Linked DNA regions of Caenorhabditis elegans. The protein of the gene in region 3 purifies or fractionates together with the protein of the main gene of each other region. This does not show direct contact. Each region holds a gene or a part of one and is shown on either strand. Other genes may lie near its edges.

Region 1 (8,995 bases), on a different chromosome or scaffold from region 3:
ATGACAACCGCGAATATCGATATGAACTTTGACATTTTCCAAAATAAATTAAAGGGACTACCAAAATAAAGTTTCCTTGAGTCTCGCAACGAAATACTACAGTAGGCCCGTGTAATCCTCTCGGATAACTGCAAAACTTTGTTTTTCTTTGTTTATTTTTCAATTTTTTCTCACAATCTGTTATTTGAATTTCAGAAAATGGCTCGGAGAAATGAGTCAACGCCTGAACGAATGCAACTACACGAGCAAGTAAGTTAATCTGTTTATTTTAAATTTTTTATCGATCGATTTACAGATTGCCAACATTTCTGTGACGTTCAATGACATTCCTCGCTCGGATCACTCAATGACTCCAACAGAACTATGTTATTTTGATGATTTTGCTACTACGCTTGTCGTCGACTCGGTTCTCAACTTTACTACCCATAAAATGAGCAAAAAGTAAGATAATCGGCCTTTCTATATCTCGTTCATTATTAAAATTTCAGGCGACGCTATTTGTATCAGGACGAGTATAGAACGGCTCGAACAGTTATGAAAACATTCAGAGAGCAACGAGATTGGACCAATGCAATTTACGGACTTTTGACTCTCCGAAGTGTTTCACATTTCCTCTCGAAACTTCCTCCGAACAAGCTATTTGAATTCCGTGATCACGTTAGTTCATATCCTGAAATCTAATTTTAACAAAATTGCTGTTTATTCCAGATTGTTCGATTTCTCAATATGTTCATACTTGATTCTGGGTACACCATCCAAGAATGCAAACGCTATTCGCAAGAAGGTCATCAAGGTGCAAAACTTGTTTCAACTGGGGTTTGGAGCCGCGGCGATAAAATTGAGCGGCTCAGCGGTGTCGTGTGCCTGCTATCCAGCGAAGATGAGGATTCTATACTGGCTCAAGAAGGAAGCGATTTCTCTGTGATGTACAGCACAAGAAAACGCTGTTCGACTCTATGGCTAGGTCCAGGTGCCTATATCAATCATGACTGTCGGCCGACCTGTGAATTCGTATCACATGGAAGTACAGCTCACATTCGAGTATGTTTATTGATATCATGTTAATTTCAAATGTGTAAATTTGCAGGTTCTTCGTGACATGGTTCCCGGTGACGAAATCACCTGCTTCTACGGCAGTGAATTCTTCGGTCCAAACAACATAGACTGTGAATGTTGCACTTGCGAGAAGAACATGAATGGAGCTTTCAGTTATCTCCGTGGAAACGAGAATGCTGAACCAATAATTTCGGAGAAGAAGACCAAATATGAACTCCGCTCACGATCCTAAATCATAATTTTCAATCATTTTTACAAATTAATTCATGTTCCATGGCCAGTGTAAATACGATATCTTTTACGAAGAGAAGCATTGGCTTTTCTTTTCTTTAAATTCTGATATCAAATTTCTATTTTCAGTATAGCACAGCCCCAGTACCAGTACCGCAGTTTTCAGTACACTAGATACCTGAAATCCATAGCGATCCCAAAGAAACTTTCTTCCCCCTTTCCTTTTTGGTTCTTGTGTGTGTACAACGATCTCTATCTGTGCTCTATTTTGTTTTCTTATTTTCATTCTTTAAAATTCCAGATTCATTTTTGAAATTACAGTATGTCTAATCAATAAATTATTTATAAGAAGATGATACACTTTTTAATTAAAATACACATTTTAAAGCTCAAATAAATGTAGGTACGGTTACCGATTGTCTCATTGGATCTCGACACAAGCTGACTAATTTTGATATCAGCAAGTATCAATTTTTATAATATTGGTCATCAATTGCGATATTTAAGTATGGCGGGATTTGAAAAAAAGTAAAAAGGGGATAGAAATCACCAGTAAAAGTTGTTTAAAAAAACGAAGTGAACATCTTCCAATCTTTATACAAGTTTAACTTGATCTGAAGTGGTAAACTTTTGATAGCTTATATCTCAGTTGTCGTAGGTTTCTTTTTAAACTTGTCAACTAACAAAATATTTGTTAGTTCTTTTTCTATCGTTTGTATTGTAATATTTATTGATATATTTAATATTAAGTGAGATAATACCCTTTAAAGCAAAGCAGCAGGGGCCAATACTAATAGAAGGATTACGGTATTTCTGATTTTTACACCAGTATTTAATGTTTTGTTTCAGTTCTGGAGAAGTGATTTGCAGAAACAAACGTTCACAGTAGTCTTCTTTTAATCATTTACTGTTTGTCAGGAAATTAGTATTGAATGCCACACAAAAAATACTTTAAAATGAATATTTCAATATTATTTTAATTTAATCATTTAGATTATCCAGCTAAAGAACTTATCTAGATACTAGATATTAGGCTCAATCCCCCACTGAGCCCAATATCTCAAAAATCATCTAGCCTTCAATTTTGACCCTCACCCTCACAAAGTTCTCATCGTTACTAATCATATTATTTTTAACGAGCCTTTGTCAATCCGTTGCTGCACCTTCGTACACCAATTAAAAGTATCGATCTATATGTGGACTGCTCCGTCGCCCCCCGACGTTGCATTGTTATCGATGACACCGCCCATTTGGTGATAGGCAACCATCTTTTCTGTGTCTCAACTATCTACCATTCCATAAGCCCACCTACTTTTGTGTCACTATAAAAGAGAATTGTGGTGTAGGTGATAACAGTGCTCTTTGTATTATTATCTACAATTACTTCGTATTCATATTCTACTCGAAAACCGCTTGTTCTTGAACTGGAAGAGTGCCATAAAATCATGACAAAGTACGTGATATTATGCACATTTTCTAGTTCAAGACTTGAGAAATCGGTTAACTGTTTTTGAAACAACTTCTGATTTTTGTTGACGGTAGTTTTTGCTATCATGAGTTCCGGGTAAATATCATATACTGTAAGACATTTGTTAGAAATCACAATGTTTCTTTGATTGATTATTTCAATTTGCTTATGGGAAACTCTTAAGTCAGAATATTTTTTTAAGCTTTCCCAGTTCCAATTTACGTTTGCTTCTTTTTTTGAAAACTTGATTCCTCTCTTGATAGGCACTCTCATCGAATACAAGAGCCTTGATAATTTAAGACTTAGAATTATACAACAAAAATCTACGCAAGGAGTCAAGATGTCTGGGATTTGATGTAATCATAGAGACAGTATACAAAAAAAAACGAATACAATTAAAGGACCTACTTAGATTGTAAAGTTTCTGGCACAATTTTCAAATCTCCCGTAAAAAAATTGTGCCAGGTCTATAAGAAAATACATTTCCTGCTTCGACAAATCAACCTTAACTGTTTCCATTCCGTATTAAACTGGAATTAACTATAATGAAACAATTTCTTAAAAATTCAATGGATGGTTCTTTGTACATGGATGGTTCTTTGAAAATTACTGTATCAGAACAAGTTTCAATTTCAATATAAAAACGCTGATGGTTATTCAACGATTTGCAAACACCGTGATAAATCTCGCTGATTTGCCGATCTTTCTGGTTTGTGTGCGAAGTTAAAATTGAATTTATCAAATTTACAATTGAAAAAATACTTTAAAAAGCTTTGTGAAATAAAGACTTAGTTGCATGCATCATATTCGATTTCTACAGTCAAGTGATTCACCTACAAAATAAATCCAGACAGATGGACATTTTGCCGTAACTTGCAGTGCAGAAATTTCTTGAAATATTTGATATCCTTAAAAATTTTCTAGTCGAGATTTGTCAAAATTAAAATATCATGAATCCACTTTTAACTTTACAAAAGGATGATCTTCTAAAATATGTGATAAACGAAATAAATTGTGAAAATGATATCAGATGTGCTTTGTGTTTTAACGAATTAATGTTTCATTGTTCCAACTGATGCAACTTGCAGTTGTCTCCCTTTTGTTTCACCCAAAAGAGTTGTCTAACGGTGCAGTATTATCTTATCAAACCACGTACAAGTATGCCTATATTTGCTCACAAATGCAGTGCACACCAATCCAGATAGATTCAGATAGAGAGATAATAAACGTACATTTAAACATGGTTGAGCTGATAATTTTGTTTGCTCCGTCTTCTGCCACAGGGAGCGCAAGTTAAGAATTTGTCTTATCGGCAATCTATCAAGGAAATATTAGGCAATGATGGACAATAATGTCGCATAATTACAACACGAACGTACAGGTCTGGAACAATGTTTATTCACAAAAATTGCAGTAAATCGAGATGAGAACAAGTTCATAAGAGTTGCACAATTAAAAAATTGATGGGAAATTATTAGAGAGATCGCTTTAAATTTTGACCGTTGTGGAAATATGAACAAAACTGAAAAAGTAAAATTGATTTTAAAGAAGCCAAAAATTTTGGTACAACGAAAGTAAGATCAGAAAGTGGGTTAAGATTGATTGGTGGCTGACTCAACAAGGCCACTGTCTTGCTGTTGGAATTCAACTTTACGCTGCGATTGATTCTGAAAACATAGAGTTAGATATAGCTCCTTAACGTGTTGAATTACCTGTCTGTCGGGGTTTTTGATCAACTCAGCCATTTCTTTTTTCAATTTAAGAGCAGAATGTCGGAAGTGTGGAATTGAATGCCAACTGTCTTCCATCAACTTGCTCAATTCATTAAGTGCTGGGACGTTTTTCCAGGCAAGATCCGGTGGTGGACGTATTCGACGTACACAAATTACATCGTTCATCTCGTCAAAATTGGGATCATTGTGCACGATTCCATCGAATGGTGGGACATGTTGTTTTGCTTTCAGAGATGTAGAATGTCCTTCTACATTTGTTTTTTGTAGATGCATTCTCGATATATTACCAGATGAACTAACTGACTCTCCGATACCACTTGATGCACTGTGATCAGGAGAGGTCTCATCGACAGTTAACACTTCCTCACAGGTGTTTACCTACAATCATGGCCTTTATTTTAAACTCATTGAATAATCATACCTCAACCCTGATTGCAACTTCCCACATAACAAGTGCCATTGAGTAGATATCTGCCATCTTGAACTGAGAAAAATCTTTTGGATTCAACTTGTTTGATATCAGTTCTGGAGCCATATATCGTTTTGTTCCAACTTGAACATTGAATTTTTCAGGGAGAATTTTGTCGTTTTGACTGAAAACATTATTCTTTCTAAATTTCAGAACAACTAAATCTTTGGTTTTCAGATGCATCATTTGAAATAACTCACTATCGTAGTGCCAAACCCAAATCAGCGATACAACACACATTTGGTCGTTTGACTATAATATTCTTTGATTTAATATCTCGATGTGCAATTTCAGGTTTTCTAAAGCTTCCAGTTCCGTGTACAGCTGCATGTAGATGTTCAATACCACATATACAACTGTGAATAAGTCGAAGAGCTTCATCTGTTGTCAATGTTTCTTCACGGCAAAGATAATCTGATAAAGATCCCAGTTCATGATAATCAGTGATAAGAAGCATCTTTGTCATTGAATCTTCCTCACTCCAAATATCAGCCGCCACGAATTCTGAAACAATTCTTGAAATTCAAAGTAATTTTACTGAAATAGCTTACGAAGGATATTTTCATGATTGATCATGTTAGTTTGATATACATCTCTTTCATTTTTCCATGAATCTTCATCAGTTGTGTAGAATGTTTTTACAGCCACGTAACTTCCACGATACAGAGCTTTGCGAACTTCTCCATATCTAAAAAATATAGGCAACAAAGATTAAAATAAGAATTAATTTTACCTTCCCTGTCCAATTGTTTTAATAATTGTTAAATCTTGTCTCACTGTCCTTTGGATCAACGCAGCCTGCCCAGAACCACTTCTGAAAATTGTATTTGTTAAAAACATCACTTTCAAAATAATGGGTATGATATCTCTATATCGCAAATACTCTAGGAAATAAAAACGAACCCTGAGTCTTCGAGCATTGATTTGCTCTCCATGTATGTTGATTCTGTTTTCAGAGACACCGTCTTGGCTCTGGCTCTGGCTTTAGATTTTTCTTCTGAAACAAAATATCAATTTAGTAATTTAAAAACTGTCTCACCTGCTCTTGTAATACATAAATAAATACATCCAATGACTGCAAAAACCGACATGACTGTTGCAAATACCATTATGAACATTTTTCCTCCACGTGTCATGTTTTCCAGTGGAGAATCATAGTCTTCTGGATTGTCAGTTTTCTCTTGAAGTGCTTTCTCTGAATAGTCCCTGTTAAAAAATTTAAATTAAAAAAAAACTCACCCTTGTGATGATGAACATATGCCGGCGGAATCAAATTCTTATTGCAATAGTTACCTTCATAGCAACAACCAATACTTTTAGGAGAATGGTGAGCTGCTCTCCAAGAATTACACTGAAAAACACCTGGTGAAATATTTCAAAAAACTCGATGAAACACCGTCAAATGTGAAGCTCCACTTCCTCTTTCCAGTGTTGCACATCCCCATTTATGAAGAGTTTCCATTCGTTTTTCAGCTTTGTTATAAACCTAAAATTTATTTTTATAATTTTGAAAATAATCATAATTGCAATAACATCGATTTTTCAAAAAAAAAAAATTATTATAATTTGTCAGTTTCAAGAAATGAGAAAAATCCATTCATTAAAAAACTGGTAACGCCTAGATCATATGTTGCTAACCTCCATGGTGTAAAAATATTCCAAAAAATAAAACGGAAACTTTCAAGAGCTACAAGTTAATTTTACCTCTTCAACGGCATGATAACAAGCAGCTCCATCTTGTTTCACACATGTCATATTATTTCCACATATCGACTGATCATAATTGCAATAACATCGATTTTTCAAAATATCATTGGGTCTGTTCCGAAGCTTCATCTCTTTTAAAACTTGTTGCCTGATAAGAAAAACTGAATTTTTGATAAAATATAAAAACTCATGTACCTGAACTCCTTTGGAACTCCTATTGCATTTTTTGGAATGCTCAACGCTAAGTCTTCATCGTCAAAGTGATCATAGTCTTTTGAGCATTTTTGAGTATTGAAAAATCCGAAAATGAGAATAAATATAAAGGTGATGTTCATTAAATCTGAAATTTGCAAATAAATTGATTAAAATATATTGTTAATGAAGTCAGTTGCGAAAAACATGAAAATAGAACGAGTAAAGACAGAGGTAGAGATGAAAAGACTGTTTGCCGAGTTTCCTCTCCGTTTCGTACAATATTTCAATCTACGGCCTCTTCTATCAGTACACTATCTCTCTTAACTATCTCATCATTCACTTAATGTTCTTTTTGACAACTTGTCCGCCTAATGATACTAATGATCTGAACGGAAAAGTTGCGCCAAAATGGATATATGTATGACCGGAGAATAGGTAGAAGTGCGGCGCCTTTCTGTCGCGCCACCCCATAAAATGACGGGGTCATTAAATGGCGTGGCGCCATTTTTCTGAGAAAAATAGATGGATTAGATTTATGTAAAAGAGGGTTGCACCAGGTGTTTCTTTTTTTCAATATCTATTCATTGTTTCTATCGTTTGAAGTTTAGCGATTTTTGGGCACCGGATGAATACAAGATTCGGAAGGGCACGACAAATTTTTATAGTACTACAATTAAAATCGTCAGTAAGAAAATATCATGAAACCATGCTTATAGTGCAAAAATGTCCCAATACCATAGTAACACCAAAAAAAACTGAAATTTTTTATGTATAGTCACAAATTAGTGAAGAACTAGAAGTCGGCAAAAAAAAATCTACGAGTTTTATTTTTTTGTATTCAAATGTTGTAGGGGTTTACCGTTTGAAATTTCTTAAAAATTTACTTTTTTGGAAAATTTGGCAAACACAGGGGAAAATAATCATAATAGGGAAAGTAACAAAATAACAAGTTACAATATTGCTTCGCCTATCATAATTTTGAAAGTCGACCAATAATCCTACTTTTGATCAAAGAAGAGCTCAAAAATTTGCAAGAATTCCGAAGTATTTAAAAATTTGGAAATTTGCCAAAACTGAAAATATTGAAAAATCTGAAACAAGCTTTGAGTTTTGGTCATTCAAAAATGATATTTATTTGACAATGAAAATCTGATTCTACATTTCCTTCTTTGTTGTTCCCAACTTATAAAATATTAATAGTTTACTGGGGACTCGACAAATATTATTTTTTAAAGAGTTCTGAGCACTTATCGGAAATATCAATTTTGTAATAGTATGATACGTTTTGAGGGCACTTTAGTTTATTCACAATACTGGGCTTCTAGAAATTTTAGAAAAAATGAAACTAATGTTTTGAATACTTAAGTTAATTACCAGTGCCAGTGTTTTAGAATAAAAAAACACTTTATAGGATTCTATGAGTTTTTGGAAAGTTCAGTCCCGGCAAAGGTTGCCGAAAGCTTCAAAAAGCGAAAGTATAAAAAGTTCTGAAACTACAGCTTAACACAATGAAGCTTAAAAGTTCTCACATTATGAATATAAACATGTAATGTACTGGAACAAGAATATAAAATTGAAGTCCAAAAAAGACGACAAAATAATGAAATCTCCAAGGCAACAAGAATGGGAAAAGATTCATGATGTATATTTTTTCCTGACAATAAATAATACGCAAGGGAATTGTTTTGAAACTAATATTATTTTTACTGCCACACTATTTCATTCCGTGACATTCCAACTAAGAACTTCAAAACGAAAAAATATTGACGATTGGAAAAAAATAAATCAGTTTTTGATTATTTCGTTTTCATCAAAAATTAACATCGTACGCAGTATGTTAAAATGCAAAGAAGACGATTTCGAAGTGATGACTACACCGCCGGAAGAAGCCGAAATGCGAGAAAATCCGAATGAAATGAAACGTCTCTTGACGCACATGTCCACAACCAATACACCATTTGTTGTGCACGATCGGACTGGTCTCAGACTCTCATTTGCTGGCCTTTTGCCCATCACAACTGGTGACAATGGAGAACAACGCATCTGGTCATCAAGTATCATTTTGAATAGTGCAGAACTTGGTGAGTTGACGTCGAATGAATTGGTTCTTGGGACTCTGGACTACTACAAATTTTG
Region 2 (11,704 bases), on a different chromosome or scaffold from region 3:
TTAGAGGCTGCTTGGCAGAAAAATGGAAATTCTCACTATCAGCAAAATTATTGCTTATCACTAAAAATTTGCTCCCCAAACCACCGATTTATGCAGCATAATCTCGTGTTATTCTTTCCTTCCTCATAATCATCTTCTCTCCCAATATCCTCTTTCCAATTCATAAAAAATGCAGTGTATGAGGAAGAAAGAGAGATAGAGAGAAAAAAAGAAAAAGACAGAAAGAGCGCTGAAATTATTCTCTCAACAAATCGAACGCGTGGTTGTTGTGGAGAGGAAGAAGAGACACGGGCGGCCGAATAGAGAAAGTTAGGCGTACGAAAGAGGCCTGAAACGCAGACATGTAGACAAATGCAAGTCCATCGTCTCTTCATTTCGTGTACTCTCTATCGTCTCTTCCCAGTTGACGACCCGAACACACGGCTCACAATGCCCGGGCACATCGACTAAATGATTGCGCGGGAAAATGAGGCACCCAGGTTCCACCTCACCGTCTTTTTCTCTTCCTCTCTCTTTTTGCTCTTCTAATTTCCGTTGGGTGAATACTGCTTCCCGGGTGTACCTTTTTTTGAGCTCGCCAGTTGCAGAAAAGTTGTCGACCTACTTTCTTCTTTCAAGTAGGCAATCGGCAATAATGGTATTTGCGATAGAGCTATTTGGGCAATTTTAGCATCTAATGGCGGTTGCCGAAACATTGCCGAGAATAACTAAATACTAGAAGTGTATCTCCCTGACAACCTCATTCTTTTTCTCCTCAAGCTGAAAGCTCCAATTTGTCATAATTTGCAACTTTGAAACTTTTTCTGATTGTCAAAAATCTGCAAACTCACCTTCTTCCTGCTTTACACTTTTTCATCTTTCGTTCAATTTTTCTATCTTTTTTTCTAACAGTTTTAGTAATGTCAAACATTTAGCTTCGTTATCTTTTTTCTCTTGCACGCCTGAAAAGGGTTGCCAACTTACAAGATATAGCAAACGTTTTGACAAATATTTTGTTAATTGAATTTTTAAGTAAATTTTACCATTCTTTCTTTTTTTGGAGAGAATAGAGAAATGATACATTCTAGCTTCTATGCGGTTCCCTTTAACATTCCTTGATAACTCTCAATGTTCTTGGCAATTATGGAAATTCCAGAAAATTGTATGTTTAGTATCCATGTTCACTTTCCGCTAATTTCTGATCTACTGTTCAAGTTCTGACCACTTAAAACATCTCCCCCTGAGTGTCCTGCAAAAAAAGTTATATGTGACTTTTTCAACATTTTTTCAACCCTCCCTGCAAATCGTTTGACCTATTTGGAGTGCGTCGTGGGCGGGCTGGTAATGACCATCATTTTCCCAAATAAATTATTTTCGGAAGTGTTCTTCACGGTTTGTGTTTTGTAGTCAAAGTTCTAGTGAAGTTGTTTGCAACTTCGGAGTACTTTGCTGTCGAGGTATTTCCGTAAGAGTTAGGAAAAATAATGTCAATTGACAAATTGTAGGAAAGTTTGTGCTGAACATATTTGAGCAATGATTGTGCTATTTTTTTTTGCCAATTCTGAGTTATATCACTTCATAGTTAATATTTTTTGATATTTATAATCGCAAAATTCATATAAAATCTTAAACTTTTATTCCCACTGACCATGAATAATATTAATTCACTGAATAACTGATGATAAGTACCCAATCTTTTTTGTTTTGTCTCTCTTTCTCTCACTACTATCTCTCTTTTCTCTTTTTCAAATGAGAAGAACTAAAGCAAACAAGTTGTGTCCTTTTTTTCACTAATGTTTAACCTCGAACCGACAGCGAAACCACACTTTTTTGCTGCAATTTAACGTTTTCTCACACGATTGGACCTTTTCATGGAGGTCTTTTATATTGATTTTTTTGAAGATTTAAAACTGTTTTTAAAATTTTTATACTTTCGACCCATCATCAACATCAAGTTTATTTTCTTCTTATAGGTAGCTAACCCCATAATTTTTGCGACATTTCCTGTTTTGAAAATGAAAAAAAAAGTTGCGAAAAATAAGTTAAAATGCTACAAGATTTATGTTACAATTTTAAATGTTCTCATGGAAGAAAATAATAAAAAATGATTATTTGGAAAAATAAATACAGGTTGTTCACGAGGAGTACTTGAACTAATGTTTTGAATTTGATCTAGTTATACGGAAAAATTTGAAAAAGTAAACATAAGTTTAGTTCCCGCCGAATTAGGTAGTATGTATTTTTTAATAATTGAAATTCGAATAATTTATTTTTTTTCTTGACAATTATCTCTTTTCATATAATTTTCAAAACCGTCGTGTACTCATCGTGAGCAATATTGCTTGTTCTTCGACCTCTTACTTTGAACTCGATGGTTCCTTCAGGTATTCCGAGGCCTTCAGGTTCCTACTATTTTGCTCTTTTCCTTCTTCTTCTTCTTCATCTAACATAAGAGAGCTTTGGTCTTACACGCCTGCTGCTACCCTCTCCTCCTTCTTCTGCAACAACAACAAACCCACCGTGGTCACATGTGAATTTCGCCGAGTTTCACGCTCTTTTTCCCCCTTTTCTTTTTCGGCTTTTGCTGCAAAAATAGAACGAGTGAATAATACCCAGAAAAAAGCGAGTGCTTTGTTGTTGTCAAGGTAAACACAAAAAATATATGAAAAATGTTCAAAAAATATTCGTTTTGACATTCTCTTCTCCCACTTAAGTCGCTTGATTCAATGTGACGGGGAGGCTTGAGGCAGGAGGAAAAGTATAAATTCACCTGAAATAACGAATGGTGACATGTTTTTGAATAAGAAGAAGGAAAGGATGACGTTGAGTGGTACTTTCTATTTTCGTACGTTTTACAGAAAACTTATTGAAACTTAGCGCCCGACATCTAGCCCAAACTTGGACGAACACCTAAGCCTAAGCCCAAGCCTAAATCTCATTTTAGACTTTTAGCCGAGCCCACGCCTACTCCAATTCCGTTCTGCTGAAAAAAACATACGTTTTCCTGGTACCACGCACGAAATATAATCCTGAGAAACTTTTTTTGGTTACATTACATGTGTATAGCACATTATTTAATTTTTCCTCGAATTGCTAGTGTATTTTGGGAACCGAAATATGGAAAGTCCAGTTAGTCCGAACTTCGCCCATTTCCTATAAGGTGCAGGTGTTCATCGATACTATATTTTTCTCAAAGTTCCCGTTCTATAGACCCCGGAAGATCCCGCCTTCATTCTGTTTGGGCCCCGCCCAACTTTAGCCCCCTCCGATGAGAAAAAGAGCACAAGAGGACAGCGAGCCCCTCTTGTAAGGTTCTTGTAGGTCAGATTGTCACGTCATTTGATTTTTTGTTGTTGTTTATTAGAGAACATTGAATGAAAACCTTTTTTTATTTGAAACAAAAAGTAGAGAGTAGAGTTTGTAAAAGTGATAAGAGTGTACCAATCTTTGCTGTTTCCTCGTTCTTTTTCTCTTTTCTCTCTTCATTTCTGATGTGTGCTTCTCACTTCATTTTTTTTGCAAACTTTTTGTGCTTCCTTAACACTTTTCACATCTTTCGTTTGATGGAGATTGTGCAATTTATTCCTATTTTTACGGAATTTTTGAAAAATTTGGTTGACATTTTTTAGTTGAAAGTTTTGAACTCTCATGGTGCATCGAAGTAAAATTCAAACATTTTATTTTAAAAAAATGAAAAGTTTTTTGTTAAAAAAATTGGAAATTTCGAATGTCGAAATTCGAAATTTTTTTATCCGAAATTTCGATTGCTTTTATTTGAAATTAAGAAATTTAATTTTCATCAAAACTAAATTTTTAAAATTTTAGCTGGAAATTTTAGCAAAGCTGGCAATTTTATTTAATTTTATCGAAATTTTCGAATTTTCGAATTTTTGAAATTTTATTTATTTTTTCTCAAGTTGAATTTGTTGACCTATTTTTTTTATTTAAATAAGTTTGCATCTATTTTTCTCAATAAAACATTTGATCTTAATTATTTATTTATTTTACTCCTCAACTTTAAAAAAAACGTTACAATAATTCAACTACCTTCAATTTTCAGATGAATCAGAAAGGGACAGTACGTCTCAAGGCACTTGTGCTCATTTGCCTTCCACTCTTTTTAATTGCCACACCGGTTCCTGTTGCAGTCACGGAAGACGATCGTCAGGACCGAATCGAATCGGAAGCCGCCGAGAAAGAGGTGAGCATTTTTTGAGAAAATGTGTTTTTGTCGTAAACTTCTTTATTTTATTCTATCTCCTTGGTTTAACCATCTTTCAGTGGGCTAACACCCTAGTCAGCAAAGTAGCACAGTCAAATGGAACTGGCACTATTAAGGTCTCGGCACCAGCGAAGCCCACGTTAAGGAGAATGGACAATGAGGAGGATGAAGTGATTTCGATTGAATGTGTAGTAAGTTTTTGGATCAATTTGATGGAATTTAGGCTCATTAGATAGTGTTGACGTTTTGGGGATCAGAAATCAGTGACTCTCCCGTTTGTTTAAAAATTACTGGATCAAATACACTTTAATTCCAGTGAGCCCTGTTCCCCTTGTAGAGGTCGCAGAGCCAATCCACCCACATTCCACTGATCCTTGTTTCAATTAACTATAGTTACTTTAAAGTACCAAGATATTCTAAAAGGGATAAGTTCAAACCCGCAAGCTACAATAACTACAACTCCTTTTGTTTTTCAAGTGTTATCACTATTCCATAATTATAGGCTCTCTTCCCCAAAATTAAAGCAGTAGTAAAAACGTTAAACTTTAAAATTTTGCAGTACTACGACGAGATGGAATGCGAAAAGAGTGGCGATTGTGAAATCACAAAGAAGACGTGTTACAGTGAAGCTCATCTGAAAGCCGTCGGATGCTTGGCCGTATTTGGGCTGCCCACGCAAGAGGTTAGTGTGGAAGAGGTTTTTGGCGGCCACCCCCAGACCGAACTGTGTCACATGACGGGGGCCCTTTATATATATTGTTTCATTTGTTATTCATGAGTGACATCTTCTTCCTCTTCATCCGCGGAAGTATTTGTATCTTTTGCATTTTTTTTTCCATTCTGGCTTATGACTTTGTCAGCTGGAACAAATTGGGGTGACATGACTCGTGATTTTTGATAGTTTTGTAGGATGGAATTTGAATATCAAAATTAAAATCAGAATTGCATTAGTTTTATCGAAAACAAATACATATGAGCAAGGTTTTGGCCTTTTTGAAGACGACTTTGAAAATTTACTGAGCGACATAGGATTTAAACGTGGAACTTGATTCAAATTGAAAAAAATACTGCGGAAAAAGTTAATGATCAAGGCTTTATTATTCCTTTGCTACAAAGCTCTTCAAACCAAACTTAAAAGTTGTTGAGTTTATCAATCCAATTTTGATCGAATCCATTAAAAATGTGCAAACCAACTAATCCGGATTTAGCTGCCCATGTTTCAAAAGATGATTAATTGAGTAAAGGGGATAATAATAGATATATGCATCCATATTATAAACATCAAAAATCTTAAAATTTCCAGATAAACTCTACAGAACCATACCTGAAAGTTGATAAACCGCAATACAAAAGTCTGGGATGTATGCCGTATCAGCACGCGGACTCGATGAACTGCGAGAACGAAAGCTCCGTAAGTTATATTTCAGCATTCGGAGCACCTCATAAAACTGGAATTTCAGTGTCGCCAAGGACGATCATTTCGCGGCGGAATTGGAATGTGCTGCTGTTCGACCAACAATTGCAACATGCCGGATCTCATCGAGATGGTCAACCCGTCATTGAAGAAGGGTCAGTGAGCACATTATATTAAGAGAGCACTATATCCCATGTTTAACCCCATTCTTAGTATACTAGAGCAACACGCAATGATTCTGTTTTTGTGAATATACATATATATCACCTCCTTCTTTTTACCTTTTTTACCTTCTTTCTGTCCCACTTTCTGTTTAAATAACCTTCTTTCGGGTGAGCGTTGGGGCTAGAGGCTAGGGAGAAATTGTTGGCATTGAAATGAGAGGTTTTCTGTGAAACATTTAGCTTTAAGTTAGCAGAATTTTCACGAAAGTTGAACAACCACGCGTGTCTGTGCCTAGTTATTTTTTCGAAATACGGTTCATCATACGGAGGTTGCCTCCCATCAACTAAAATACGACAGAGTTGGAGCACATTCGAGAAAATTCCCAGGAAGTTAGACAAAAATGTGGCAAACTAACGACGAGTGTAGGGAGATAGTGGACGGAAGTTGGCAAACGTTGCGAGCAAATGAGAAGCACCAAATTGCAATATGTCCTAATGTAGAAGCGTTCAGGCGAAAGTTCGAGAGAGTTTGGCGATGTTTGGTTTGAGCTCGGCCACAGTAATAGGGAAAGTGACGCGAAGTGTGATCAATCTGAGTCAAGCTTTCGACAAGTGAAAGACGAGAGTAGGAGTTGAGGAGCGGGCCAGATGGAAGACGGAAGCTGCGACGAATCTTCAACTAATTTATGAGCGTTGAAAAAAAAAGTTGGAGAGAGGTTATGGGGTTATTCAAGTAGTGTCGGAAAATTAAAAAGTGTAGAAAAATTACGTCACAACCTTATTCAAGTAGATAAAAACATGTATTTAAATACATTTGTGACGTCACAAATGTATTTAAATGCATTTTGCTACATTACTTGAATAACCCCATTAGAAAATTTTGAATGGTCTCTACGGATCTCAGCAAACGTTCGTCCAAACTGCGACAACCTTATGACGCGTTTATGATAAAATTTGAAGTTGAGACAATGAGAGAGAAGGATAACCGAGCAGAGGTTGAGAAGAAAGCTCGAGAGAGCTTGGCAAACATTGAAAGATAGTTCAGCTAGCCCTGAGACAATATTTTGCGCCAAAGCTGAACAAATTTCCGGTGGAAGTCAATCGGAAATTAAGAAAAATATGGAGAACTTCCCATTACTTTAGCTATACTCCTCCCAACCTTTCCCCGTGTACCCTCAACCTGAAAGAATCCACCTCTGTAAAAGCCTGCAGTTGTCATAAACCTTGTTCCCAATTTCTCTTCCCTTTCCTAATTTTCTCCGAAAAAAATGCACGTGGACCTCTCCAGATTGTCTCCTAATTTTCTCTTACCCCTCACACATACACACACACACCATTCATGCAATTTTATGTTTGTTCTTGTGGCTTTGCAAGTAAACCACTTTTTTATTTCAACTTTCTTTTGTTCTTTCTGTTTCTAGAGGCGATTCGCAACGACACTCTGCTGTTATTTGGCTCCTCCCCTCCAGTGAGCGGAGTGTCGTTGCAAAGTGAAACAAACGCTTTTTCGTAATAATTTGCACCCGTGGAAGATGCCTGTACACACACACACACATACAAATAAAAACATGTACACATTTTGAAATCACCTATTTAGAGCCGATAAAATTTCAGATTCGGATAATTCTGCACTTCTGTGGGCTTCAACTCCATCCAACATGGATTTGGAATCTCTAGGTACTGTCTGCATCTACGTCTCGGGGCTAGCTGGGTACTAACTAGGTGCTAAACACCCTCTACCACACATCCCCCACTCTTGTCAGTTTCTCAATGGAGCGAATTTGCAGACAAGTTCCCATTCTACTGGATCATCATAATCGCACTGTCAGTGATCCTTTGTATTGCACTCTTGATCTTGGCATACGTTGGTTGGAAATTTCAGCAGAATAAGAAGGAGGAGATAAAAAAGCAGCAGAAAATTAAATTTGACATGGCGAGTTTTGTCTTTTTTGAAATCGAATCAATTTTCGAAATTTTCAGGAAAAAACTGACGCACTGGAAGCTGGAAATGTGCCTCTCGTGGAGCCGGAAGAGGAAATGATTGAAATGGTGGAGACACCAAAGGAGCTGCCGATCACTGATTTTCAGGTATGTAGGTACCGCAAGAGTCGTGCTTGATATTTTATATTGAAACATGCTCTCTAAATCTAGAATACAACATTTGAATTTTGAAAAAAAAACCATATTGGTGAAACTTTTCAGCTTTACATGAATTTTTTAAAAATTATCAAAAACAATTGTTAACATAACTTAAAAACAACGAACAATTCTGAAAACATTTGAATTTATGGTTTTTTAACAGTGTCGGGGAACGTTTTCATTTGGCATTGGAGCGCATTTGCACTTTGATTTCAAAATTCACATATTTCGCGTCTTCATAATAGTTCGTCTTTTTGATATTTTGCTCGGAAGTTCGACCTCACGGTGTAAACTTTTGATGTCCACTACTTTGTGAACTCTGAGCTTTTCCTTACTTTTTCTTTATCTTTGAGAAAAAATGTTGAAAACAACAGAAGGCTCTTTTCATGAGCTGATTGACGTCACACTTACACTCAATGACATTTGTTCGTTTATTGCAGTTAATCTCAAAGGGACGTTTTGGAAAAGTTTTCAAGGCGCAATACACCCCAGACAGTGGTGAGAAACGATTGGTTGCGGTGAAGAAATTGAACGAATTCCAAAAAGCGAGCTTTTTGGCGGAGAAAAGAATCTTTGATGAGCTTAACGAGTACCCGAAGTGGTATAAAAGTATCGTCGAATTTGTGTGCGCCGAGAAAATTGGTGATGAGTATTGGATTGTGACCGAATTTCATGAGCGACTTAGTCTCTATGAGTTACTCAAGAATAATGTAATTAGTATTACATCTGCCAATCGAATTATTATGTCAATGATCGATGGGCTTCAATTCTTGCATGACGACAGGCCGTACTTCTTTGGACACCCAAAGAAGCCAATTATTCACAGGTTAGTGGAAAATGAAAATAATTAGAAAATTTTTAATGGATCTGACTTGTGATCGCCCTCCAACTAGTTTTAATGCTCAGAACTTTACTCTAGGTTGGTCCTAGAAAAAATCGGAAGAAGTTGCTAAGTTGCGCTTGAGCAGCCGACATTTTCAGGATCAATTAATAGTAGCGTGGACCTACAAGTTGTCGGCTGCAATTTCCAGTAAATATTTTTTGAAATACACACGATAGAGTCCAAAATGATAGGGTAAAATATTGAAAAAAAAAAACCAATTTTTAGGCGCATGACAATTTTCAGTTGAAGTTTCGAAAAGTTAGGGTTTAGAAAAAAAATAAAAATTCAAACAATTTTGTACATTGGAACACCTAAAGTATCTAGAGTTAATTAGAACATAATCAGAATATAAATTTCGCGGGAAAATTGTGTACAAAGTGTTATTATGATATTCGGTTTACTATCGGAGAGATTCTAACCAATGCTCCCAGTAACACTACGTTACCTTTTAAGAGCAGGTAGCGAGTTTCAACGACGCACGACGCTGGTTAGTGTATGCTCCAAACTGTTTCTAATGTCTGTACTTATTCAATTCAATAACCAATTTTTTGCAGAGATATCAAGTCGAAGAACATTCTTGTGAAAAGCGACATGACCACATGCATCGCGGACTTTGGCCTCGCCCGAATCTACAGCTATGACATTGAGCAAAGCGATTTGCTGGGTCAAGTGGGAACGAAACGCTACATGTCACCAGAGATGCTCGAAGGAGCAACCGAATTCACGCCAACTGCTTTCAAAGCGATGGACGTTTATTCGATGGGACTCGTCATGTGGGAAGTCATATCCCGTACCAAGTTGCACCAAACCGACGAGCCACCAAACTACCAAATGCCGTTTCAAGTCATCGGATTTGATCCCACAATTGGTCTCATGAGAAATTATGTGGTGAGCAAGAAGGAACGACCACAATGGAGAGATGAGATTATTAAACATGAATATATGAGTCTGCTAAAAAAGGTTACGGAAGAGATGTGGGATCCCGAAGCGTGTGCACGGATTACAGCTGGATGTGCGTTCGCGAGGGTATGGAATCATATTATGAGCTCACCGGACAGTTCGGAGGGGTATCACAGTGGAAGTAGTATGAAGAATCGGGGTGTTGATGATGTTGAACAAAGTGAGAAGCCGGAGGGTATCGAAGAAATGCAACATTATCATGCGTCGTCACCCAGCAAGAGACAACATCCTAGTCCGAATCCGTTTTTTGATTCGTGTCCACCACCTCCGCCGATTCCTGTGATCCTTGAAAATGGTGAGTGTACAGTGAATCGAATAAATAGTTGACATGACCCGTGAGATGTCGGCTGCTTGTGAAAAGCAGTTTCTAAATTTTAGGTGACTTCCCAGGAGATGTCGGATGCTCAATGCAGCATAGCTTTAAACCTTGAGCAGCCGACATCTCACTGACTAGTTATACGTTTGTGTAGGTAAATGTAGGATGCTGGTAAATGACCGACCGACATCTTATGGGATACGAATGGCTATGCTAAAAAACATCTCACGGCTAATTAATTGGTTTTGTGGTAACAGTTTTCTGAAATGATTGGCTAGTCCCTAGCAGCCGATGTTTTGTGAGTTCACTGATGTTTTAAGAGTGCCCGCTGCGTGAACCAACGAGCAACCGACGTTTTGCGGGTTCCAAAACCTTATTTGCCTGGCGTAACTAGTAAAGTGTCGCCTGCTATTTTTCCTTTTTTATAAACAAAAATTATTTTTCAGGAGGAATCCTCCAACCAGACAACGCGGAGCCAGAGCCCGAAGAGCTGCCGGATCTCCCGATAGTCGAGAAAATCTACGATATTGCGACGAACATGCTATTCTCAAGAGAAGAGCTTGACCTTATGAATGCTCAACGGCAAGTTGAATACGAAGCTGGGGCAGACACTCGAGCGTCGACACCAACGCCTTCAGGGACGTTTGGAACGTTTACAACATAACTATTCATTCAAATCTAACATTATTTTATATTATGATTATACTCCCATCCTCTCCTATTCTAGTCTATATGTAGCGGTGGACACCTCACGGGCCCCTCGCCGCTGGCCCACCACCTTGTCTCTACTTACGCGTCCCCTAATGATCTCAATTTGAGCACAACCGGTGTATATATCAACTTACAGACGTTCAATATAAGAACCGCTAAAAGTTCTATGTCTTCGTCGTCTAAAACTCTTCCAAAATCTCTGATCTCTTGCATTGTCTCTCACTCAACCAAGTTGCCCACTCTCATCCAACTAACTCAAAAACTTACCTCAGCCCATGGGGCATCCCCATATTCTCTCATTCATTCACTATATTCATTGATCTGTGATAACTTTGTATTGGCAGTTCACATCACACAAGAATCTTTTTTTGTATATCAGTTGATTATTTATTCTTCATTTTTTACACTTAAAATTAAATAATGTTTCTTGCTATTCACGAAAAATTGACATTTTTCTTTTTTCAGATTCATCCGGAAATACCCATTTTTAGACAGCTGATATGCCTCATCACCTGCCACTAGTTAGAATGTTTCCTTCACTTCTTATTTTGTTATTGACTATCAACTTTCCGTCTATTTCAACATAAAACATTTCCTTGTACGGCAGTAGCCAACCGACGCCTATTTTTGTTCCTAGCCCTTCTTTATGTTAGCTTTTTAATCCAAAAAGCTTTCCACTCACACAATCTTTACTGGGCCCGCAGAATGTCGGCTGCTTCCAGTTCTTGACAGCAGCAGCCGACACCCGACGGATCACATGCTAAAAGTCAAAAGTTCACGGTTTTTGAAATTTCTCTTCTCCTCCTTCTTCAACAGCAAAAAATAACATGAGGGAACCGATCTATTCTTAGTGAGTAAACGCAATTTGGCTCCTTCTCTCTATTCGTCTTGTACATCAATCATATTTGGCGTGTCT
Region 3 (11,544 bases):
ACGACGATGGAGGCGAATGAACATTCATCCACGTTTGAAACTGAGTCTTCTACTGTGCCAGCTACTAATGAACCTATAACAACGTCATTTATCCCTTCAACTACTGATCTATCAATTATTACTTCAACGGAAGAAGCAAAAATCAGCACGACAATGGAAACAGATGAACTATCAACCACAACGGAGTCAAGCTACTCCACAACTCAGTTTACAACCTTCAAAATCCCAACATCCTCATTTTCGACGCTTCCTATGGAAGGAACTTCTACAAAGGAGCAGACTACTCTGTCTACAGAAGAAACATCTTCAGCCACAACAGCGACCATTTTTGAAAAACTTTCTACAACTCTATTCTTTGAAGAAACACAAGTAACATCAACGTCTGACTTTACATCGTCTCCTAGAAGTATTGAAACAACACGTGTCATAGAGTTCGATACTTCAACGGAACTGCAAACGACTTCCAAAACCTCTACCACTACAGAAGATACAACAACAGTGGGGACGACAACTGAAATGGAGATGAGAAGATTCTGGAGACTATTCGGATGACCGGATATATTTTATTTCTTGATATGTTTCTGTTTTGAGTATTTGATTTCGGGTAAATGAATGGGTTACATTATATATTTTTTGAAACTATTTAACAAAACTAAATAAATTTTGAAAAACTATTCAAAGTTCTCTGTTCGCTCACTACAACTCATGTTCTATCATAATCATATACGTTTGTTTTCTTCAATTAAAAAATTCATTCCTTAAGAGCATCACTTGAAATTAAAGATCTGTTTAAAATATTGTCGGTACGGTTTTTGAAGATAAATCATCAAAACGGTAGATGAAACACCATGTAGGGAGATTATATTACGTGCTAAATTTCCACTGCCTTGGTCGGAAATGTTATATGCTCCCATTATAGCCAACCAAGCAGAAGGTAGAACTACGAATAGTAGTGGTATTAAAATCTTAAAAAAAAAGAAAAAAATGAAAAAAAAAAAATTGAAACACAGACCTGTAATTTTATGGATTTCACGAAATCCCGTTGTAGTTGTAAAGTTTTATTGGACACGATCATTTTTCTTACTGCCCAGTTCATATTCACTTGTAGCAATGTTCCGAACACTATCATTTCAATAATTATAATTATCGTAAAAACTCTTTGAGAGTACACTGGGATCCACGGAAAATCGAGAGCCATAACGAATATAGGATTTTCAGGCGAATCAAATTGAATAAGCTCAGGATGTACCATAAATAATTGTTGCCTTGGAAGATATTGGTCAGGCATAGCATAATAAGTTGGAAGATAAAATGCCACTCCAAAGGTGATGTTGAACACTTTGAACGGGTATCTGACATGCCGCCACCAAGTTTTCTCTGCGAAGAGCACGAAGAAGCGGTTCTCGAATAACTGAACTGTGGATATTGCACAAACTGAAAATAATTTGAAGAATCTGGTTTTTTGTGGTTTTTGATGGAGGTTTTACGGTTTTCGGTTACAAGGTAATTAAATGAAAATTTCAACCTACATGCTGCAATAGTCATTCCAAAATAAATTTGAGCTCCCGTCCCTATACCTATCATGTGTAAAAACCCTAAAGGAATTCCGGCCATTGTAGTAGAGAAAAGGTATGGTTGACCCACACAGGTCATAATCATATCATATGCCATAGACCACATCAGAAAATTTAGCAGATGAAGTTTTGTAGAACACATTGTCGGTGGAGTCTTTGCGATAATACAGTATACGCCAAATAGTTGAACTGGTAGTGATATCACAGCTATCGAGTACTGAATTGTTGAGTAAACGGGAATCGAGCCAAAAAATTTCAAGAACATGTCTGTTTTGAGATAGAAAAGAGAATGCATCAGAAAACTGAAGCCATTTTATGAAGAAATATTTGAAGGTGGTTATTATACGAAGCACATGATGTGTATAACCAATAGTTTCACATAAGTGAAAATTATGAGCGAATAATAAAAAAGAAAGAGGAAACTAACCCTACAACGCAGATTTATGGGGGTGTGATCAAGCTGGAAACAATCTTCGACCGTTTGCGAGTCGCGGTGTTGCTCATTGTGCCCGATTCCGCTGACAATCGTATGTCGAGTAGGCCAATTCTGCAAAAATCCTGGTGGACAGACACCTCAAAAATTAAGTGTGAATATGGGCTGAAAGACTAATTTTCATGGTATGTAGTTTGTCAAGGCGCAAGACTACTAATAAAGGCTACTATTATAAAGAATACTAGAAGCTGCACTTATAGAGGAAATATCTCGACATTTGGCTTCAGCTTCTTGCCCAAGTTTGGCCAGAAAAATATTAACTTGGAACAGAAGTTGGCTAAACTTGGGCAAAAGTTGGGCAAGACTCTGGCAAAACTTGGATTTATGCTGCGCCAAAGTTTAACCCAAGTTTGACCCAACTCTTGTCAAATTTTTGTCCACATTTAAAGCTAAAAAAGGAAAGTTCGGGCCAAGCTTGGGTTTAACTTTGGCGCAGCTTAAATCCAAGTTTAGCCAACGTCTTGCCCATCTTTTTCTCAAGTATATCCAACTTCTGACCCAAGTCAATATTTTTCAGGCCATACTCGAGCAAGCTCTGGAATCAAATGCCGAGTATTGTATACCTATGCAAGAAGTTTATCAAAGCTTAACTGATCAATAACCCATATTTAATCTATATTTTCATTTTTAATACGCCGAACTGTCTAAACTAAATTCTTATCAACAGTACTCTCTTTCTCTAAATCTCTATTACTAAAGAAAACTGCGCCTCTCCGCCGTTATCTGCTGAATGTCTCTGAGTCTCTCAGTTTGTTAAGTCTTATTTGAGATAGATTCGGTATTTGTCGTTCTTTAAAACAGTAAAAAGATTGCGAGACGATAGTTTTTGAGGTTCTTCTCTTCCGTTTTCTCTGCACTCTCGTCAGTTTTGTGGGTCACATGTGTGCTATTTTGCGATTATTAAGCATTTTTTATTTTAATAAAAACAATTTTTTGGACATTGGTTTTTTTCCGACCTTATTCATATTTTCCTTTTTAAGTTTTCAGGTTTTCTGTGACAAAAATGTGGACATGATTGTATATTCGCTATTACTACTAATTCTGTATGATTTTCTTCCAAAAGTCGTTACTTTTGATACTGTCTGCATTGGACTATGCCACTGTGTTGGCAATGTTGTCGACTGCTCTTCACTCGATTTATCGGAAATACCAACGACGATACCTAATAACACAAGAATTTTACTACTCTCTGATAATGAAATAGAATCGATTGATAAATCGCGACTAAAAGGATTTTATTTTTTGCAAACCTTGTAAGTTTTTTGAGGGATATCAGTGTTTTTGAATGAAATACTAAAGTAAAGTAAATTGCTAAAAAAACATTAATATGGGTGAAGAGCTAAAATAAAAATAATTTTTGAGTTTCCTATTTTTGAATTTGTTCTGAAATCTACAGTACCATTCAGTGAAAATAAAAAAGTTTTGGAAACTTTCAATTTTTTTAATAAATACAATAAATTGATATCCCAAAAATCGTTCTTTAAAAATAATAACTTTGCAGAGATATTTCGAACAACATTATTCGACACATCGATTTCGAATTTTTCTACAATTTGCCAAACCTTAAGATTTTGTAAGTTCCATTTTCAATACATTTTTTAACGAAAAAAAAAACTATAAATACAAACTCAAGTACAGTAAGACACCCTCAAATTCCTGTTCAACAGTTTGTGAATGAATAAATATACAGTAAGACAGCGTGTTTTTCAAAATTCCTAAGAGTTACTTCTTATCAGTGGAGTTGTAACCAACCACAAACTCGTGACTTTTATCGTTCCAATAAGTTTAGTCTTTGATTAAAAAAGGATTGCAAAAAAGTGTAATTAAGACAAACACGGGCTCGTTCTGAACGGGATCTTAAAATGTTAGTAGACTGCAAAAATAGTAGATGACCTCAGAATATCCTACAACGCAGAAACATTACAGAAACATTCGAAAAAATCGCTTAGCACGAATACCTCGTGGCTCACACGAGCTTGGTCACTTGGAAAAACTGGATTTGTAAGTTTGCAATAATCAGTTTGAAAAAAAGTAATCAGTTCTCAGACGGTCAAACCTAATATCTACAGTAACCTCAGAAGAGTTGAGTTACTTGGCTGCTGTTAGATCTGTTGATTTATCCAGAAACCTGATATCATACTTGCCCAAACCAACTACCTCCGCAAAAGTTAACATTGAAAAACTGTAATAATGGTCACAAGATGCAGTAAAATATTTTCAATTTACAGAGATCTCGCATCAAACTCAATCACAGACATTGGCACTGATCATTTTTCCAGTTTTAACACACTAGTTACTTTAAAACTGGCCAGAAATCATATCACAACATTAAATCAATTTTCTTTTTCAAGGCTAAGAAAGTTGGAGTCTTTGTAAGTACCTGGGAACGGTGATTACTACCTCATTTTTCTAGACAGTTTCACTTTCCAGAGATTTAACTCGAAATATGATACGAGAAGTAAGGTTTTTGGCGTTTAATCAATTACCATCACTTCAAAATGTAAGTTTGGCAAGAAACGACGTGTATCGTTTGGATGATGGGATGTTCTATGCTTGTGAAGGATTGAAACATCTAAATCTATCAACTAATAGAGTTCAAGCGGTTACGGAAGGTTGGATGTTTGGTTTAACGAGCTTGGAAGTTTTGTAAGTTTTAAGATGACGAATATGAATATTGACTTCTTTATTATTAATACAAATGTGTAATGACTTTATGAATATAAAAGTTGAAAAAATAATGCAAAAAAAGTTTATAAATCTTAAACTTCAGGGACCTGTCCTACAATCAAATTCAATCTTTCCACATCAGTTCGTGGAGCCATACTCCAAAATTGAAATGGCTTTCATTACATTCTAACCGGATTCAATCCCTACCTTCTGGATCATTCCGAGTTTTGAGACAACTAGAAGAGCTCATTCTCTCAGCAAACTCAATTGATAGTCTTCACAAATTTGCATTGGTGGGAATGAGCAGTTTACATAAGTAAGTTTGGGGATGTTATTAGATTATGAATAAACTATTATGAAATTTTCAGACTAGATCTATCTTCAAATACCCTGGCAGTTTGTGTTGAGGACGGAGCGGTTCTGTATAACACATCAATGCCTTTTCTTCGTTCATTAAGGTTTACGAATAACCAACTTCGAGTGATTCCAAAAAGAGCTTTTGAACGATTTCCCGCATTGGAAGAGTTAGATCTGACTGATAATCCGATAGCAACAATTCATCCGGAAGCATTTGAACCGTTGGAACTGAAAAGATTGTAAGTGGTCGGCTGAATACTCGTGTCATTTCTGAAAAGTGTTTTAGAGTAATGAACTCCTCTTCGATCCTTTGTGACTGTCAAATATCATGGCTCGCATCGTGGATTTACCGTTTGAAACTCGACAAGTCTTCCATTATTGCTAAATGTTCCTACCCACCTCCTCTTGCAGACTTGTATGTTGTAGCAATTGACACAGCAAACTTGACATGTCACAATGATTCTCCCCGAGCAAAAATTGTTAGACAGCCTGTAGAAGTAAGCACTTTGATTGGAGAAAAAGCTCGGTTTACATGCAATGTCTATGGAGCAAGTCCGTTGAGCATTGAATGGAGAGTTATGGAAAATGGTCAACCTAGAGTTTTGGTACAGGATTCTGCAACTTTCCTGAGCATAAATAGAACAGCTGTTGTGAATGGAACATTTGATGAAAGGGAACTTGCGGCCGCTGAGTTACTTTTGGACAATGTAGCTATGACCGATAATTCTGAATATCAATGTGTGGCAAGGAATCGATTCGGATCAGACTTTTCAACACATGTCAAGTTGCAAGTGAGTTTTTACACCTAAAATTTTGGCAATATTTCTCTCGAAAGTTTTGTTCGATTCAGCTCAAAGTTGATTCGATAAATATTTATGACTCGAAACCATTATATACTTGCTCACGTGGTATCAGAGTGTCTCATTTCGGTTTGATCTACGCAGATCTACAAAAATGCGGAAGTTGAGACGCAGAGTTCTCAACTGGCTTCGCATGGTTAAGAAGGTGCTGACGCACCATTATTTTGAGCAAAAAATTCCCGCATTTTTTGCTGATCAACTTTTGCTGATCAACTGTGAGCCTGGCACCACGTGCTTGTTAACATATTTTTATTATGCGTGTTTGTGAAAACAAGCAAAACAAAGGAAAGCATCACAAAAGTAATGACCTCGAACCTAAATTTGTGTTGTCTTTATTTCTCAGGTCTACCAAGCGCCAAAATTTACGTACACCCCAGAAGATATGCCACTTCTCGTTGGACAGACAGCAAAATTTTTATGTGCAGCCACAGGAACTCCAAGACCGGAAATCAAATGGGCATTCGAACAAATTCCGTTTCCAGCCGCAGAAGCCAGAAGGCTATATGTAACACCAAATGACGATCACATTTATATAATGAATGTGACAAAAGAAGATCAAGGAGCATACACTTGTCATGCAACTAATGTTGCCGGGCAAACACAAGCGAGCGCAAATTTGATTGTTTTTGGTAAGCCTTTCAGAGAACTTTCAAAATTAATCTATCGTTTTAACTTTCAGAATTAATCTACTGTTCTAATTCTCTAAGTTTTACTTGTTTGTTTTCTCAAACTCAAGTTTTCAGAAAACTTCTTCCACTACCCCGAAAGCCCTGATTTAAGCCCGATGCTGATTAAAAAAAGAGACGCATTAAAAATAGATTGCTCTTGTGATCTTATTTCCAGTCGACAGAGAATGGTGTGGAAACGGCAGCAACAAGTTATACTTTTCTTAAAGAAAGCAAAGTTCTCAGACAATGATCAAATTCTGACTCTAACCCAGACGACGTTCTCTGATTCTGGAGAATACTCGTGTGAATTATGGGTTGATGATACGATACTGATGAGAAAAATTACAATGGTGAAGGTGGTAAACGAAGATGGTAAGTGGGAACTCACTAATGGGGTTGTTCGAGTAGTATCGGAAAATTAAAAAGTGTAGAAATATTACTTCACAGATGTATTAAAATACATTTAAAAAAATTAAATACATTTAAAAAAAAATACATTTTGCAACATAACCTCATAACCCCCATAAAAGCAAACTCAAAAAGGCAAGACCAGCTTTGATCAAGGTTAGTCTCGGTTATGAAATTTTTTCTATTAAAGCAAAAAGTGTTGTTGTTTCCTCACAATTGTTGCTAAAAATATCATTTATTGATGAGGATATTACGAAGAGAAGTGAATACAAGCAGAGCACTGAGAAACCGTCCGGTGGTCAAGAATGACTCTCACTCACAATAACACTGTACACAGGGAGAGGGATAGACATTGAGCAAGTGGGAAGACACTATTCACCGGCAAACAGATCACAGAGATCAAACGATAGATAAAAATCTTTTTGTGGTACAGAACCCCACAACAGTTACATTACTAATCCTTTAACTGGCCAAAGCACATGCGCAACGACTTACTACTATTGAGCGCCCGCTTGGACCCATAAGTTTTTTTTATATGAGCATTCATAAAAACCTGGGAACATTGGTTTTTTGGTGCACAGACTCCGAATACACCAATCGTTTTTATCTTGGAAATATATAAAATTCCACCGTGAAGAGGTAGAATTATTTATGAGCTAAATTTGAGAGGTCCTATACAATATATTTTTTCTAAACTTCTACCAGTTTAAAGGAGGGCACATTTGTGCGAAATGGCTTTGCCACGCGCCATCCATTAATTTTTGGATCGCGTGGCGGGATCATTTTGAATAAATGCCTTTCCTTAAAGTCGTAGAATTGTAGAAAAAAAAATACTGTAGCAATCGTGGGCGCTGTAGTTTGTGTGATCAAAAACGGGAATGGACACATGGTCGACAATTTTAAGTATTTTCACAATTGATTATGCATAAAAAAGCTTTTAAAAAATTTTAGAATTTGTTTCTTCGGAAGCCACCTTAACTCAACGTGTACAACGCATCCGAGCAATGGCCTCAAAATTAGTAGATAATATCAAATCTACAGGGAATGGAATTTATCTCATGGCTTCTTGTAGTGCATTTGGACTGTAAGTTTCAAAGATTGTCTAAAATGTTTGTCCTCACTGAAAACCAGTTCATTTTTACAGAATGATTCTGGGAGTTATCACTTCAATTTGCATTTGCATTGCAAAATGTTCTTGCAATCAGAATCACGTCTTCAATGTACTACCAGTTCAAGTATAATCCTTTGTAATTATTGAATATTTTTAAAGCTTGCAAACTTATCTGTCATTTATTTATCTTCACCGGTAATTTTTTATATGTTTTGCGGGTATATTTTTCAATTCGAATGAAAGTAAATACTTATAATTGTTAAAGCTTGAACATAAAATTAAATCATAACAAAGATAACAACAACTCGAGTATTGCTAAATTTTTAGTTACAACATTTTTGTTACAGTTTTTAGTATGTTTTAGTTATTGAAATTCGCAGGAATAATTCACCATTTTCTTTTCTTTTCTCAATAGAGCGTATCTTCGATACTGTCCTTGACGCCAAAATCTTAAATCTAACAGCTTGTCCTTTTTGAATAGGTCATTGAAAAAAAAGGGACAGGTGCCATTTCTCTGTGTTCAATTCTTCTCAAATTCTCTCAATTCAATGAGACGAATTCTATTTGCTTTTCTTTTGATTTTTGAGGTTTTTTGTCCTGCTAACTTTCTGTTTACTTTTTCACACCTTATATTGTTCATTTTTTGAGTGCGAAGCTTCCGCGATGGGTCTCGACACGATTTCACAGCTTTTCTCAAATTGTTATGTCTGCGGCATTTAATTTCTAGTAATTGCCAAGTTTCCAGTAGAAAAATTCAAAAATCGAAAACTCAGTCAAAACTTCCAAAAAGCAGGCATAGATACGTAGCACATGACCAATTAAAATGCAAAATGAAAACAAAATACTAAAATCTCTGGTCTTAATTATGAAAATTAAAAAAAATATCAATTTACTATATATAAAGCGCGTGTCGTTCTGTCCCTATGTAGTTTGATCTTTGATCTTTGGTCTTTGAACTTTGTAGTTTGCAGTCTCATTCACACAAGAGGGGTCACATAGGCCCCCCCCCAAAAATTGGCGGGAATTCAAATTTCTGAGAAAATATTTTGGCGGGAATTCAAAATTTAATTTTTTGAACATATTTTGGCGGGAATTCAAAATTTAATTTTTCGAAAACATTTTGGCGGGAATTTAAAATTTTAATTTTTTGAAAATATTTTGGCGGGAATTCAAATTTTAATTTTTTGAAAATATTTTGGCGGGAATTCAAATTTTAATTTTTTGAAAATATTTTGGCGGGAATTCAAATTTTAATTTTTTGAAAATATTTTGGCGGGAATTTAAAGTTTTAATTTTTTGAAAATATTTTGCCGGGAATTCAAATTTTTATTTTTTGAAAATATTTTGGCGGGAATTTAAAATTTTAATTTTTTGAAAATATTTTGCCGGGAATTCAAATTTTTATTTTTTGAAAATATTTTGGCGGGAATTCAAATTTTAATTTTTTGAAAATATTTTGGCGGGAATTCAAATTTTAATTTTTTGAAAATATTTTGGCGGGAATTCAAAATTTAAATTTTCGAAAACATTTTGGCTGGAATTTAAAATTTCTGAGAAAAAGAACCTTCGTGTCGAGACCCTTCGTGGTGAGAGCTTTCGTGGAGAGACCCTTCTTGGTGAGACCCATCGTGGTGAGACCCTTCGTGGTGAGACCCATCGTGGTGAGACCCTTCGTGGTGAGACCCATCGTGGTGAGACCCTTCGTGGTGAGACCCATCGTGGTGAGACCCTTCGTGGTGAGACCCTTCGTGGTGAGACCCTTCGTGGTGAGACCCATCGGGGTGAGACCCATCGTGGTGAGACCCATCGAGGTGAGACCCATCGTGGTGAGACCTTTCGTGGTGAGACCCTTCGTGGTGAGACCCATCGTTGTGAGACCCTTCGTGGTGAGACCCATCGTGGTGAGACCTTTCGTGGTGAGACCCATCGTGGTGAGACCTTTCGTGGAGAGACCCATCGTGGTGAGACCCTTCGTGGTGAGACCCATCGTGGTGAGACCCATCGTGGTGAGACCTTTCGTGGTGAGACCTTTCGTGGTGAGACCCATCGTGGTGAGACGCATCGTGGTGAGACCCTTAGTGGTGAAACCCATCGGGAGTTAAAATTTTATTTTTTTGGAAACATTTTGGGGGGGGGGGGGAATTAAAATTTTAATATTTTGAAAATATTTTGGCGGGAATCCTAATGTTCAAAAAGTGAACATTTTCACCTTTTTTCATGAGATATTTTTGTAGGATTAATTGAATTGATGATATGTGTCAAACATGTCAAATTTTGCCAGTCGTTAGCACGCGCCTTGGCGCGTGCTAGCGGCTGGGATATATATAAGAGGGTGCAACGCTTACTTCCTGAAAAAAAAACTAAATTTATTATCAATTCATAAGATAGTGCGTAGATTAGTAACAAATGTAATTTCCCTCTTGCCACGTATCATTACAATGAATTGTTTATTATTTCATCTATGTGTGTGCTCTTCTCATTTCATTCAACAATCTATGCTCCTCCCCACAAGTCGTTTGTCTAGCTGTCTGCGTCTCTTATTTCGTAACATATTCTCTCTTTTGCTATTCTGTTCCTTTTGACCCGTTCGCACACTCTATTCGGCTCAGCTAGTAATATGTAAACTATTTGTAGTTACTTATAGCATTTAGTATTTTGTTTTGACAGCTATTTTGAACTTTTATTAGCAACAATAATTGTTTTCCATATTCCTAATTTAAAATTTATTTAGGATTCAATATTTGAATTTTTCTACTAGTAAAGTTTGCCACGTGGCGTTTGGGACAGGGACACAAAATTAATGCCGATGTTGTAAAACATTCAAACTATAATAGTACTTTAGACATTGATTTTACTGGTTATAAGAATTGTGTTTTGAAAATTTTACAATATAAGATTGAGGTTATACTGTGAGTTAAGATTTTGTAAAAAATTTCAAAACTTTTTGTGTTCTTGTTTTTTGTTATAGTACTTTTTTTGCTTCTTTGGCACCAGTCCGGGATATGTGTGATATAGCAAATTAAACGTGAGCTATACGATTTTTAGCATTTTTTTCTCTTAAACTCCTAAACTAATTTTCTTAAATTGCGAAGCGAGAATGGAAATTTTTCAAATGACCCGCTTAAATGGAACCGGCGTGTAAGCTAACCTAGGTGTCGTGAAAATATCCGTTTGCTTCACTTTTTCCTCCGTATATTTTCTTTTTCTCCCGAAAATCTTCTCAAATTGCCGCCTAGTTTGTGTTGAGTTTTTCGATGCTCTTGCGGCGGTGTGAGCCCATGCCAACTTACCCACCACAAAGCTTTTGTTTTCTTTAGTGTCTTTCTCACTCCCTCTATTCATGTCTAGTTTCCCTGTGTTCTATGGTTTTTGCGTGTGCTAGGATATGTGTGATATAGAAAATACA

Evidence for each region.
Region 1: the proteins of sma-10 (region 3) and sma-6 purify together in Caenorhabditis elegans (affinity purification with western blotting, with the first as the bait; one study listed by BioGRID). This does not show direct contact.
Region 2: the proteins of sma-10 (region 3) and daf-4 purify together in Caenorhabditis elegans (affinity purification with western blotting, with the first as the bait; one study listed by BioGRID). This does not show direct contact.

The regions. Positions count from the first base shown.
Region 1 is NC_003280.10:6,322,493-6,331,487, reverse strand, and holds sma-6 (Serine/threonine-protein kinase receptor sma-6), read right to left. Parts: upstream 7,005-8,995; 5' UTR 7,000-7,004; coding exon 6,860-6,999; intron 6,813-6,859; coding exon 6,662-6,812; intron 6,444-6,661; coding exon 6,354-6,443; intron 6,309-6,353; coding exon 6,197-6,308; intron 6,153-6,196; coding exon 5,997-6,152; intron 5,955-5,996; coding exon 5,861-5,954; intron 5,772-5,860; coding exon 5,691-5,771; intron 5,646-5,690; coding exon 5,509-5,645; intron 5,462-5,508; coding exon 5,158-5,461; intron 5,082-5,157; coding exon 4,910-5,081; intron 4,867-4,909; coding exon 4,468-4,866; intron 4,423-4,467; coding exon 4,348-4,422; 3' UTR 4,133-4,347; downstream 1-4,132. Other genes in the region: set-4 (Histone-lysine N-methyltransferase Suv4-20), read left to right, coding at 232-249, 296-441, 489-657, 709-1,041, 1,088-1,288; C32D5.4 (uncharacterized protein), read left to right, coding at 8,409-8,940.
Region 2 is NC_003281.10:5,621,103-5,632,806, forward strand, and holds daf-4 (Cell surface receptor daf-4), read left to right. Parts: upstream 1-4,039; coding exon 4,040-4,180; intron 4,181-4,260; coding exon 4,261-4,392; intron 4,393-4,760; coding exon 4,761-4,883; intron 4,884-5,504; coding exon 5,505-5,612; intron 5,613-5,661; coding exon 5,662-5,770; intron 5,771-5,841; exon of another isoform or gene 5,842-7,104; intron 7,105-7,393; coding exon 7,394-7,456; intron 7,457-7,566; coding exon 7,567-7,712; intron 7,713-7,759; coding exon 7,760-7,867; intron 7,868-8,358; coding exon 8,359-8,744; coding exon of another isoform or gene 8,745-8,769; exon of another isoform or gene 8,770-8,996; intron 8,997-9,355; coding exon 9,356-10,056; intron 10,057-10,523; coding exon 10,524-10,741; 3' UTR 10,742-11,220; downstream 11,221-11,704. UniProt on the Caenorhabditis elegans protein: Involved in a TGF-beta pathway. May be a receptor for TGF-beta-like ligand daf-7. Controls the decision of whether or not larvae enter a developmentally arrested state, known as dauer, in response to environmental conditions.
Region 3 is NC_003282.8:271,548-283,091, forward strand, and holds sma-10 (Leucine-rich repeats and immunoglobulin-like domains protein sma-10), read left to right. Parts: upstream 1-3,054; 5' UTR 3,055-3,078; coding exon 3,079-3,320; intron 3,321-3,568; coding exon 3,569-3,640; intron 3,641-3,993; coding exon 3,994-4,068; intron 4,069-4,113; coding exon 4,114-4,251; intron 4,252-4,295; coding exon 4,296-4,439; intron 4,440-4,497; coding exon 4,498-4,713; intron 4,714-4,837; coding exon 4,838-5,050; intron 5,051-5,102; coding exon 5,103-5,330; intron 5,331-5,377; coding exon 5,378-5,882; intron 5,883-6,294; coding exon 6,295-6,580; intron 6,581-6,630; coding exon of another isoform or gene 6,631-6,694; coding exon 6,695-6,991; intron 6,992-7,978; coding exon 7,979-8,111; intron 8,112-8,171; coding exon 8,172-8,268; 3' UTR 8,269-8,392; downstream 8,393-11,544. Other genes in the region: crmb-1 (Serine/threonine-protein kinase), read left to right, coding at 1-552; srh-282 (Serpentine Receptor, class H), read right to left, coding at 768-965, 1,013-1,434, 1,530-1,716.